Linked DNA regions of Drosophila melanogaster. The protein of the gene in region 2 interacts with the protein of the main gene of each other region in a pairwise test. Each region holds a gene or a part of one and is shown on either strand. Other genes may lie near its edges.

Region 1 (5,073 bases), on a different chromosome or scaffold from region 2:
CTCCCCTTTCACCCTCCGGCCGAACAGACGACCTGAACGCCATCCTCAACACTATTAACACGGCCATAACTTACGTAAATATTGCGGTTATGGACTATTATCCGCTGATCATATACGAGAAGAACCACCACTATTGGCCGTTTATCGACGACGCTCTGCGAAAGGCGGCTGTAGAACGGGGCGTGGCTGTGAAGCTCCTTATTTCGTGGTGGAAGCACTCGAATCCCAGTGAGGACCGGTATCTCAGGTCACTGCAGGACTTGGCATCCAAAGAAGACAAAATTGATATACAAATTCGTCGATTCATAGTGCCGACTGATTCGAGCCAGGAGAAGATTCCCTTTGGCCGTGTCAACCACAACAAGTACATGGTTACAGATCGAGTGGCTTACATCGGAACTTCTAACTGGAGTGGAGACTACTTCACGGACACCGCTGGCATTGGACTGGTGCTAAGCGAAACCTTCGAGACCGAGACCACTAATACCTTAAGAAGCGATCTGCGGAATGTTTTCGAGCGGGACTGGAATAGCAAGTACGCCACACCGCTGGTATAATCGCACAACGTTGTAATGTGATTATTCCGATGCCAATGTTATTTTAACTATTTTAGCTCCCGACAATTGTTCAATCCTATTCATTGCTTTTATTCAGTTTTGATCATGCGTGAATTCAAATAATACGCGAATTTACGAATTGGAATAATGCAAGTATTTAAAGTATGGAGATACAGTGAGCTTGAAATCATAACGTAATAAAATTCATTCTTTCATATCCTGCTCGCAGTCACATAGTTTCCTTCTGATTTGTAACATGTGTACAAACTGCCTAACTCGGCACTAACCCAGCTGCCTGGCTAGTCACTAAATATATGTTAAATACTCTTTGCAACTACATATAACATTTGCACTTAATAAATGTTGGGCGAACGCCTTTGTCGTCTTCGTGATAATCGCTATCCATCAAAAGGAGCATGGGTATAACAGAGGCCAGCTCCTCAATCACTTAACATGGGCACCCCGCCTGAGAAAGTTATTGCTGGCGATGCTCTTTTCGATAACCGCTTGTATGAAGGACACGCGTTCAATGAGCGTGTTGTAGATCAGCATCAAACACCGCGCATCGATGGCTGTTAAGTAGAAAATTAGTCTTGCTACATTCAATCAAAAGGCCTATCCCTGACTCACCTGCATAAAGAATCTGCTCGCGACGCAGCGGTCTATTGGCCCAGTTTGAGCACTGGTTTGATTTGTTCAGTTTCTTGCCAAGGCATGCCAATGAGAGATCCGTAAGGGCGTCTCCTGCCCGGTTAACATTGCCGAAGGGAAGTTCAACGCCGAAGCGCTGCTTTTTTAACTCCAACCAGAGATTGCGAAGGTCCAAGTAGTGGTGAGGCATTTGAAGGCGCAGTTGCAGGGGCAGTGACCGCTGCAATACACTGAGATCACTGACCATAGAGAACCCCACCTTACGGATGTTCACGTTATTAAAGATATTCGCGCCCAGCAAGCGCCAGTGTTCCGAGCGTAAGCTCTCCCGCGCCAGGCAATCGATCAGGTAGACATTGTGGCCGGTGGCGATCTGTAGCACGCACAGCTGATTGTCTCCGCACACGCTCTGCATCCATTCAGAATCCAGGTATATGACGCACTCCTGCTGCAGATGGTATAACATACGATCGAACTCATCAGCCTTGTTCACAATGATAAGGCACTCGTCGGGCAGGTCCATGGTCAGGTACATATCACATCTACTCGAAGGACAGCGTTCCTTGCCGGGGGATTCCCAGCCTGACGCTTTTCCAGCACCGTTTTGCGATACCTGCGTCTCGATCTCCAACGGACAATCTTTCGGGTCAATATTGAACTCCGTGTACCAGTAGATGGCTTCAGAATGAGCTCCAGCAGAGGCCAAATACTTTACGAAGTCCGTGCGCAGCTCGTGGTTAAAGGCATGGACGCTCACAACCTCCCGGAAACTGGCCAGGTTCATGCGCGTCTTCTCGTACTCGCGGTAAAGGTAATGCAAGTAGCTGCACGTCTTCGTGAACTTATAGTTGGGCGTGACGGCGTCGTCAAAACCATACTTCTTGGCCAGTCGCGCCACAATCTTGGCCATAGGCCGATAGCTGAGCACGTTATGGGAAATTTTGAGATTTTTGTACCGACTGCAAGTGAAGATAGAATTAGATGAATTGCAAGACCAGTTTTTCAAATACATACTCGAGTAGATGCTCGCAGAGCTCTAAAACCGACTTCTCCTTGTGCAGCAACGAATCCAAGAACTTGACAAAGGGCAACCTCTGCTGTGTGGCATGGTCCAGATATTCCTCGGCCAGTGGTAGTTTCTCAATTGCAATCAGCGGGAAAGCCAGTTCCAGCATGTCGAACTCGTGCGTCAACTGCAGACTGATGGACCATTGGGTGACCTCTTTGTAAAGCCCGTTGTCCAGGAGTTCGCGCAACTTGGGAAGCAGTAGGTCGCGGATCTGACGTAGACTGTAGGCATGGATAACAGCATTGTTGAGGGCCAGCAAGCCGGAGGTCTTGACAAAGTTAAAGGCTATCATGCTGGTGTTGGGATCACAGCCCTCGCCAAGATGCGGGAAATCCTTGTGGAGCTTGCAAACCGTGTCCAGCACAAAATGTGACAAGCTCTTCGTCTTGATGTTGCTGCTGTCTGGGCAGTTGGCGAAGATCTTCAGGGCCAGGAGCAAAGGATCCTGATGGCCCATTAAAGCCCTTCCAAATTCCTGGCGCAGATGTGGCGACTTTTTCTTGCTATACATGTTCCACTTCTCGCGGAACAGCTTAAAAAACTCCTCCGCCTTTGCGTCCAAGGTGGCGTCAAAGTTACAGCCGTCGATTCCAGCACCTGTCGTGATGTCCTCCAAGCGCTTGATCTTCAGGTTGCTCATTAGGTTCTCCATGTTCTCCTCGTCCGACTCAAAGCCGGCGGGTATTGCGTTGTACATGTGGCTCTTGCGTGCCATTTCTCACGGGTTTCCCGTGCCACTGCAGAGCGAAGCAAGTGCAATTGCCAATTGCAAATGCAATTGACGGTAAAGGCGAACAAACTTCGATGGAAATATCGATTTCAAAAACATCGATGTTTCAGTGACCGCCCAAAACAACACCAAACGTCAGCAGAAACCGCCAAAAGTTATAGATTTTTTTAAAGCAAGATTATTTTTTTCGCAGATTAATGCCTTGTTGCTAGAAAGCTATATATATATATATATATATTAATATTAAATATATATTTATAATTAGCAATTTTTTATACAGTGAACAAGGTACATGAAATCCGCCGGTGCAAAATTATTTACAATTTTTACTTTGATTGGAAAATTTATTTATTAAATTTGCTTGGAAATACGGCAATCATTTGTATTGCAGGATTGAAATCCAAAGAACAACTATTTGATAAAAGTCTAGCTAAAATAATAAGTATTATAGTTATTCTAACTGTGTTGCCTTTGAAGTCCAACTGGCAAATGAGTTAATGAGTTTTTATTTTAATTAAATTGTTAAAACTTGCCTATTTTTACTATAGCTGTATTTAGCTCTATTTTCCTAACGCATTGGCAGCACTGCCCACAATTCAGCAGCGTGGCAGCCCCGTTGAACAGCACACGTGCATTTTTGTTTTAGTTTGCACGTTGAAAAATGAAGCTGGCTACGAAAAAAATTAAGACCCTGGGCAAATCCAAGCCTGACCTAAGCAAAAAGAAGCCCGCCAAGGATGCCATCAGGAAGACGAAACCGCAAACAACCTCTGAAACGAAAGTTACTCCAAGAAACCCGAAGCAGAAAGTCGCCGAACCAGTGAAGAATGGGAAGACCACAAAAAAGGGATTTAAGAAATCCCACAAAGAGGAGCTTGAAGGGCTTAAAGATATAGACCCAGAATTTTATGATTTCTTAAAAAATAATGATAAGAAGCTACTGGACTTTAATTTACTGGACACAGATGATGATGATGATGAAGAGGGGGATGAGGAAGACAAGGAAGATACGGTAACTAAGGAAAGTAAGGATGACGAGGATGACGAAGAGAAGTACCACAAACCCAGCAAGGATTTGGAGGTGGCTAGCGATGAGAGTGACTTTGAGGTCGACGAAGAGGACGATGCGGCAGCTGGAGGTATCCAAAAGATCACCCTCAACCTGTTGCATCAGTGGGAACAGCAATTGGGCCAGGCCAACATATCTATTGACATTGTCCGCAAGGTTATCCAGGCTTTCAATTCAGCTCTGGCTAGTATCTCTGCCGACGGAGCGGACGGAGGAGAGAACAAGCATAATGCTGCCGCATTTAAGGTAGTGGGGGCAGCTGCGTTTAATGGAGTAATTCAGCTCTGCGTAATCCACCTGCAGCCCGCTATAATTCGATTGCTGGGCGTTAGACCCAACAGCAGCCTACCGCTGCACAAGCACAAGAAGTGGGTCAAGGTGCGAGGCTGTTTGCGCTACTACCTCACCGATTTGATTCGTCTGGTGGAGCAGGTGTCCAGTCCAAATATCTTGGGCGTGTTGCTGAAGCATTTGCATCAAATGGCCGGCATGGTGGTTCCCTTTTCGGCACTTGGAAAGACCATATTAAAGCGTCTGGTTGTCTTATGGTCCACTGGAGATGAAACAGTTCGTGTTCTGGCCTTTCTCTGCATTCTGAAGATAACCAGGAAACAGCAGGTAAATATTCTGAACTAGACACTTATTGTGACCCCTGCTAACACCAATGGTTCTTGCAGGCGACCATGCTGAATCACGTTCTAAAAGCCATGTACCTGGCCTATGTACGCAATTCCAAGTTCGTGTCGCCGAACACTTTACCAGGAATCAACTTTATGCGCCGCTCGCTGGTGGAGATGTTCGCGTTGGATTTAAACGTCAGTTATCAACATGTCTTCCTCTACATCCGACAGTTGGCCATTCACCTGCGAAATGCAGTGATCCTTAAGAAAAAGGACAGTTTCCAAGCGGTTTACAACTGGCAATTTATTAACTCGCTGCGCTTGTGGGCAGATCTCCTGGGAGCAAGTGCGAACAAACCACAGTTGCAGCCTCTGAT
Region 2 (7,805 bases):
ATTTGGGTCTGGTTGAAGATTTTCCGTGAATGACATTCCGTTGAATATTCCAGGTGCCTACAATTTTTTTTTTAATTGAATTGAATAAAATATTGATTAAATATTTCAAAAAATATTATATACTCCTCCTTCATTTTGCCCAGTCGCACTACAAAGAAACGAAACCAAAAGGAACGTATTTATTGTCCAGTTCTTGAGCATGGTTTGCTTGAGCTCACAAATTCCAAACGACTAAAAGTCAGAAGCTGCGACACTTTTAAAAATTCGACGGGAATCATGCTTATCAGTCACTGTTGATAGTATACATACTAAGCTTTATATATTTTCTAAAAGAGAGCGAATAATATCTACGAAAAATATACGCATGCACTCCTATGGGAAATAATTAATATATGTATGTAGGTACCTAAGAAATAAGCAATCAATTTTTTTGTTATACACATATAGATAAGAATGTAGACAGCGCGCCCTGATTTGAAATACTGTTTAAAGCAGCTCAAGCGGTTATGCACTGCTTGCCACGGTTGAAGCAGTGAAACGGTTCCTCAAGCTTACGTGGTAAAGCAGTGTATTCAAATTGTACGTTACGTTAGTTCTTGTTATTCAAATTAAATGAAAACTCGGGGTATTTGTAAAAAATGTAATAAAATTAATAAAATAAAAAATTGAATTGCATATTTATTGAGCCCCTTAGCCATCCCAATAAAACACAGGCTTTCTTGTTTTTTTTTTTGTTTAGAGGGGCTTTACAACATTTAACGTATATAAGATAATAATTGCCTTTATTTGGTTGTGTAGTTGCTGTTATGGTTATCTGTTGTGAAATTGCCTTTAAATCTATTTTTCTGTGTTATTTTAACCATAGCCCCAGACATTACCGACTAAGATAATGCCTGGCCATTGGATAAAACTAAAGAAACGAAACTGCGAAACGGCATAATCGGTTCGAAACGGTTTTCGACTCGGTATTCGTAATTGATGATGATGATGTGTCTGTTGGTTATAAATATATATATATATGTATATATATATTATTGAATTATGGATATTATTCCGGCATAATCCGTGTGATCGGTTCGCTAGTCGCTGTATTCATGGCAGAAACGCAACGCCTAACACATATACATATACATAAATGTAAAGTGCATTTCGTATATTAATTACTGAGTGATTAACTTGCTACACATCGATATACATACTGAAGCCGCATTAGGTTATCAATGAATGTGCTCTGAAAATTGCCTTATAACTTTGGTGCAATACAATATTTATTAATTATTTTCCATTTTCCTTGATTAGTAGTAGTGCATGGTTAATATTAGCAATAGTACTGATATATAGACACTGAGTATGCGAACTTCCTTGCCTGCTCTTCTCCTGCTAAGTTATAGTTAATTATTGTCAGTCACAGCGTCGCGTTTGCCACAACAACGTGTGCTTGTATTGACTATATCTTCGAGCTCGAATCGAAAATCTCATTATTATTATTATTATATAGAATATCTTACAAACTATTTGGCAGCTGGCCGATCTTTTTGGCGCTGCCGCAACGCATGTCTTCCAGAATGCGATTTAAGTTGTCTTCCATTTCAATGCAATGCGAAAAAATGTCTTCCAAACACACAGATAATATGCATACAATACATCATATGCGATTATTTATGCTGAACAATATGACACCTAGATATTATGGTAACTATGGTTTACAGCTTTATGTATATATATATATTCATATATATATATATATGATGTATACGGGTCTGGTAGATCCAGTATAGCCCGTCTGAGTTTCTGATTTGCAATCGCAACTCATTTTGTGGATATATATATAGACCAATTACATGTGTTATTCGTTAGTAAGTACAAGTATATATTTTATAAATGTTGCTTTTGCGTTTAAGGGCCGTAACCAACACTAAACTCTTGGTTGGCACTTTGGCCTAATTGCGACACTCCTAATTGATGCTGATTTGAAATATCTCAATGCTTTAGATTCGCCAATAACTTGTAAGCCAAAACAAAGGAAATTCTTTAGATACCAACTTGTTTTTGCCTCGTGGTAAATTGATATGCTGATTCCATCGAACCAAGGTGTATTCCAAATAAATGTGATTGGGTGTTTTTTTTTTTGTTTTTTGATTTTGGGTAGTGTTTACCGCACGATATGTTGTGTACATTGATATTAATTGGTTGTTCATCTTCATATATCTCTTCTTGTGTCTCCTCAGTCCAATTCCTTGACCAATCACCTAAATACGGGTTGTGTCCGTCCCGGGGATTTCGGATGCCTTTTGGGAGGGCATCCTCATCCTCCGAGGCGACGCACTGGAAGCCCTGCGTGATTCTGCTGTTTCTCGAGTGTGGGGGGTAAAGTCCCCCCCCTTGCTTACTCTATAGCTTTTCTATAGTTAGTTGTAATTGAAATTAGTTACAAATTAATTGATTCGCATAGGGAATTTTTTTTGTTTGCTTGCTCCTCCTCCTCATCGTATATTCTTCTCTATGTATTATTTATATTGAATTGTTTGATTTTTTTTTTGATTTTTCTATAGTTTTTGTTTTTATCTCTTTACAGTATTTAACTAAACTTTCGTAACACGTTTTCCGATATAGATTATATATGGGAGATACTTTTTCATGACAACAATAGCACTAACTGAAGTTCAAAAACGAAGAACAACAAAACATCAGATAATCAGATAATTCTCGATCCATATATATGGTTTTGTGATTTAGCGCCTCCATCGGGAGCGATCCCCTCAGGAAGGTGGGGATCGCTCAGCTGAAGAACGGCGATAAATCACAGTTGCACAAAGACCCGCCATCGCCAGTCTTGCAGAGCACCTTGCACACTTCGTCCCAGTCCGGTGCCGGAGTGGTTGTGTCCGTTTCCGAGGCGGCTGCCACGGTAGCTGCGGACACTGTTGCTTCCTCGACCGATCCTCTCCGTTCGGCATTCTCCGCGGCTCTGGAACCGTGTGTTGGATCGCCCAGCACTCCACTGGCCTTCTCCTCGTCCTTTCGAACCTCCTCCTGCTTCTCCTCCTCCTGCTTCCGCTCCTTCATCACCCTCATCCTGCGCACCTCCTGCTGGCAGGGACTGCATCCGGGCAGGGAGCGACCCATCTGACCACAAAAGCTCGAGCAGACCAAGTCGCCCGCTTTAGCTGGAAGTAAATAAGTGCATTTGATTAGTATGTTTATTTTTCAAAAAGCAAATTAACCTTAAGTTCGACCATAATAATCATTAAAGTATAATATTTTGAATAGAGTTTCAATATATTATTTTCCACTTACCCCTAGGCAGTCCACACAGTTGCCGGCACTTGGCCACATCCGTCTCCGGTCTCAGGATTGTGTTTTTGGCCACATCAGGCGTTGAAGCAACGCCCAGGCCAGCTCTGCAAGGATCAACCATAAAATGCTGATTAAATTGCAATGCAGAGTAAATTAAAAAAAAAAAAGATTTAAGATGACAGTATATGACACTCGCATTACCAAGTTAAGAACCATGATATATGCATAATTGTTATTGAAACTAGGTTTACAGATAACATAGTTTTAAATAGCACAAATGATCTAGGAAAATCTCGACTTGATAAACTGTTTTTTTTTTTTGTAAAAAATATATTTATTTCAAAACATTTTTAAATAGTATTAAACACCAAATTAAAAAATAATGCAGAGTATATTTTAAATATAAACGCAAGCCAAAATGTTCTAATTAATAATATTTGTAAATTATATATCGTAAAATTGTGAAATAATTTTGATTAGCTTTGACCCGACATTTAGAATTTATTTTTTAAAGCCTATTCAATTTTTTAAGTGAGCACAGTACTTCTGGCGACTTCGAGTGCCATTTATACTTAACATATTTGGCACTTGACAAACTACTGCACACACGCCACAAAAGTCGAGTCACGAATCATTGATATAGCCACCGATCATCAGGAATGCGGATTATATTTCCCTGACACACGCGATTGTGGGAAAACCTCGATGGAAGCCACTTGAAAGGCCGACGCGATTTGCAAATGATTTCTCAAGGCCAACATTTTAGTTGGTAAATGTGTCGTATTATTATCATTATTAGTTTGCACTTTTTTTTGTGTTGGGGGGAAACCTGCACTTGCCAACAATAAACACTTGAGTCACTTTGCGCCGAGGCACCTTACTTTCAGTAATTCCTAGAGTTTTCGATTGCTGTTTATCCGAAACTTACCCGCAGAGCTCTTTACACAGCAAACTCCAATCCTGAACTGCGCTGATGGTTTGGACGTCTTCAAGGATTTTGGCTGCTGAATGCGCTGCCGTCGGAGCAGCATCCCCCAAAGTGTCGTCCTTCAGGACGGGCGATGACGTCACAGCCTGCGCCTGCGCAGCCAGGATGAGGATTGTGACCAATGGTATGACGAGCTGTAATCCACATCCCCCCATTTTTCTCTGTCGCTTTTCAACACGCTCTCCCATCGCTGGGCTGAAAAGAGATGGGTAGATTACGGAACTGGGGGATGGGTTTTTCACGCTGGTTTGGGGCGTATTATCCTCCAGGGAGGACTGGGCCAAAATGGAGACTGTTTGGCCCCGTACAATAGGAGCAATTGTGCTCGAAATGCAATTATCGCGCTCTCAAAAATAGGCAGCAAAAAGCAGCGTTTGGGGTACTTGCCTGCGGGGCCTAATCCTTACACCATTGTTATCCCGAGCATTTGCTATCCGAATATCATTCGCTTGATTTGCCAAACCGAAAGGGGTTATGCAATCGCCTGTCTTTCGAACGCAACTGAGACTCCCACCTGGCATCCTGGCATTCTGGCATCCTGACAACGCTTTTGCAACGGGATTCTCGTCGAAAATACCTCACATAAATGCCTCAGCTAACCAACCTGCTGGAATCTTATTTTGTCAGCGTAATGACAGGCTAAACAGTCGAAATTCCCAAACTCCCATTTGTTTTCCACGGGCAACGAAAAATGTTCATGGCCCCCGGGGTGCGGAGCATTCCCTGGCCCACTGTGCTTCTGATGCCTCTGGCTGGCAGTTGAGAGTCGAGTGCCAAAGAGGACGCTTCGCCCTGGCCAGAAACGCCCGGTCTGAATTAGCCGCCCGAGAATAGCAGACCCAAGCTCCCAGCTCCATCCGCATCCGTGGGTGGCACTTGACTCCAAACATTTTCGCCTATCTGGGTTACAGGGCCTACTTGCGCTACGTGCAATCACAGCCAGGTGAGCATCCTATTTTCTGGTCGAGAGCTCATCTCATTGTTCAATTCCATTCGCTAGTTGTGCTCTTATGAAAGGGTATCGATCCTGTCTAACTATTTCTACTGATGCAAAGTATCTATCTCAATTTATTTATCTGCTATCATTAATAATAAGGAATGTTTATAATGAAGTATTAAATATTTAATGACTGCATAGTTTTATTTTTTGATAATTTTACAAATCCCTTTCAGCTTTCTAGTTTGATTAAAATCAAATAAATAGTTCTTCAAAGCTTTGTTATTTTTAGTAATATGACTATTCTTTTAACTAAAATATTCCTTAAAAATGTACATATAACTTTTAAAAGGGACTGCAAGGCGACATGCTTGTATTGCAACCATTATTTTTGAGAGTATTTTAAACATCGCTCTTAAAATGGCTTAAACCCATAATCCTTTTGTTTGTCCATGTCTGCTGCTGTTTCTGTTACTGTTTCTGTTTCTGTTTCCGTTTCCTGTTACAACTCACTGTGCTTTTCCAAAAGTTTGACTCAATTAAATCCGATTGTTCGTGGCACCTGCTCCGCTCGAAATGCTTAAATCCTTAACTCGACGGGATTTATATAAAGCTGTCCGCTACAAATGGTAGCAGTTGTTCAACTGAGCCCAAACCGGCCCAAACGAAAATCCCACTTACTAATAATAAATGTTTTTGATGGCTTTATCTGCCGGTGTCATAGATTCAAGTGCGAATCAGAGGATAGACTATCGCAGATACACCCGATCCCCCCCTCCTTTTCAGACTGGTCTGTTTGCCATATATCTGCGATAAGTGCAGACCGAGTGCCTAATTATTATTGGTAGCACATGCCGTTGAAGTGCTTTTCAGATAGCAGGCGACTTTATTTCGCCATGTTTAGTGGTTCTAAATACCATGAGCTGTTTTTGTATCAGAAATATTTGTCTGACACTTGTGATGGATGGGTTTTGTTAAAGGGTTACGCAGATGTTAAGGCGTAGGGTGCAAATTCATATCTATTAGGCGCCATATTTGTCACTTAAGGTCTTCTAAAATGTTTTTATTGTTTCAAGAAAGCAATTGAGCAATTAACAATTAAAAAACTGCGAAGAAAGTCCTTTCACACAGTTGTTGCCACATCAAAAGTAACGATTTCGTTGTGCAATTACGGCTTTATGGACTTTCTGCAACTGCCGTTGGATTTCTTCTAGCTAGTGCTACAAAGTAATGCACTACGCCCTATGAGAATGTTTTGAAAGTCATGTTGAACAAGTGTCGACTTCATTTTGCCAATATTGCAGGCATTCAATAAAAAAGATGGATCACAGGGACTAGCAAGGGAGTTATTGCCACTGTAATGGCCTTCTTAAGTTGCAATCAGTTACATCGAAAGACACTTTTCAAGTGCCAGAGCCCTCGCAACGAAAATACGCTGACGCATTGGATCCTGCCCAGGGAGCAGGAGCTGGAGCAGCAGCAGGACCAAGTGCCAAGTGCCAAGTGTGTGGTAACATCCTACGCCAGCTGCTCCGTGTGTCAGATAAGAATGGAAGTGGAGTGGGTGGAACTCTTTTGCGGCAAGTATTCCTAGGGTTCTCGTTGTTTAAGCTTCTCCAGTTTGATGGACGTCCTTTTTGGTCCTGCTGCTCCTGGGCTCTTTACCCAAGTTGCATAACATGGCCATAGATGTTCTCTGGCCCTCAAAAGTATGCTACGAAACGCGTTCTATTGGAAATGATGCAATTTCACTCTGAGATACATATCTATTTTGCATAGCCCAAGTGGGCGGGCGGCCTAGCTTTGACCCAAATTTCGTTTTTGTTCTATATACCAGGAATCTATATGCTTTGGCTTCTATATCTAAGCGCACATATGTACATATATGCGGGAAATGAAAGTAATTATAGGGTTATTTTTTTTTGTTTCATTCGACAGGAAACTCTCATAAAAAGTTGTGGGTCATTGTAAATGTCAGAAACAGTGGCAAAATTAGTTTGTTAATTAGCTTTTCATTTGGTCGCCCCATCACAATCTATATTTTCCTTTCCCTTTATCCCGTTTTATTATTTCTTTAGCATTCACCAGGCGTGCGCACATATTTCATGTGTATCTGTTGGATACTTTGGGGCGCGCATGGCCGAAGCTCCGCCCACGCAAAATGGCCTTAACAAAGATGGTTTCCGAAAAATCAATGACGTCACCCGGAGAATTTCCCGCATTTTCCTCAGCCCCACTGTTGTTGTCGTTGTCGCTGAAGGTTATGCAAGAGATTGAGGAGTAGTATGTATATACATAGGTACGCTTGTAGTGGTATATGGGCAGCCATTTTTTGGATGCGAAAAGCTTCGTAGGCAACTCAGGCGGATGCTGCTGCTCATAGCTCCGCAGATCGTCAGCGAGTGTAGGCTGCTCAGTTCCCTAAGTTTCCCAAACCGAAAGTGAAAGTTGCCCGAAACCTGTGAACCTGTGAAAATATATATACATTTCAAATCCAATAGTAATTCCCAGTCCGTTCAATCAGCGAATTGTTGCTCCTCCGTTTCGCGAGTGATTTTCAGTGTTTTTTGTTGTTGCTAGGAA

The links.
Region 1: the proteins of CG14989 (region 2) and Nbr interact in a two-hybrid assay, tested with the Drosophila melanogaster proteins (one large-scale study listed by BioGRID).

What each region holds. Positions count from the first base shown.
Region 1 is NT_033779.5:21,160,011-21,165,083, forward strand, and holds Nbr (nibbler), read right to left. Parts: upstream 3,074-5,073; 5' UTR 2,993-3,073; coding exon 2,223-2,992; intron 2,168-2,222; coding exon 1,188-2,167; intron 1,130-1,187; coding exon 1,002-1,129; 3' UTR 626-1,001; downstream 1-625. Other genes in the region: Pld3 (phospholipase D family member 3), read left to right, coding at 1-557; Noc2 (nucleolar complex protein 2), read left to right, coding at 3,669-4,694, 4,754-5,073. UniProt on the Drosophila melanogaster protein: Possesses 3'-5' exoribonuclease activity. Required for 3'-end trimming of AGO1-bound miRNAs, in particular multiple-isoform miRNAs, which represents a critical step in miRNA maturation.
Region 2 is NT_037436.4:4,085,635-4,093,439, reverse strand, and holds CG14989 (uncharacterized protein), read right to left. Parts: upstream 5,860-7,805; 5' UTR 5,736-5,859; intron 5,229-5,735; exon of another isoform or gene 4,696-5,228; intron 4,481-4,695; 5' UTR 4,474-4,480; coding exon 4,226-4,473; intron 3,402-4,225; coding exon 3,298-3,401; intron 3,168-3,297; coding exon 2,779-3,167; 3' UTR 734-2,778; downstream 1-733. Other genes in the region: CG14990 (uncharacterized protein), read right to left, coding at 1-57, 124-201.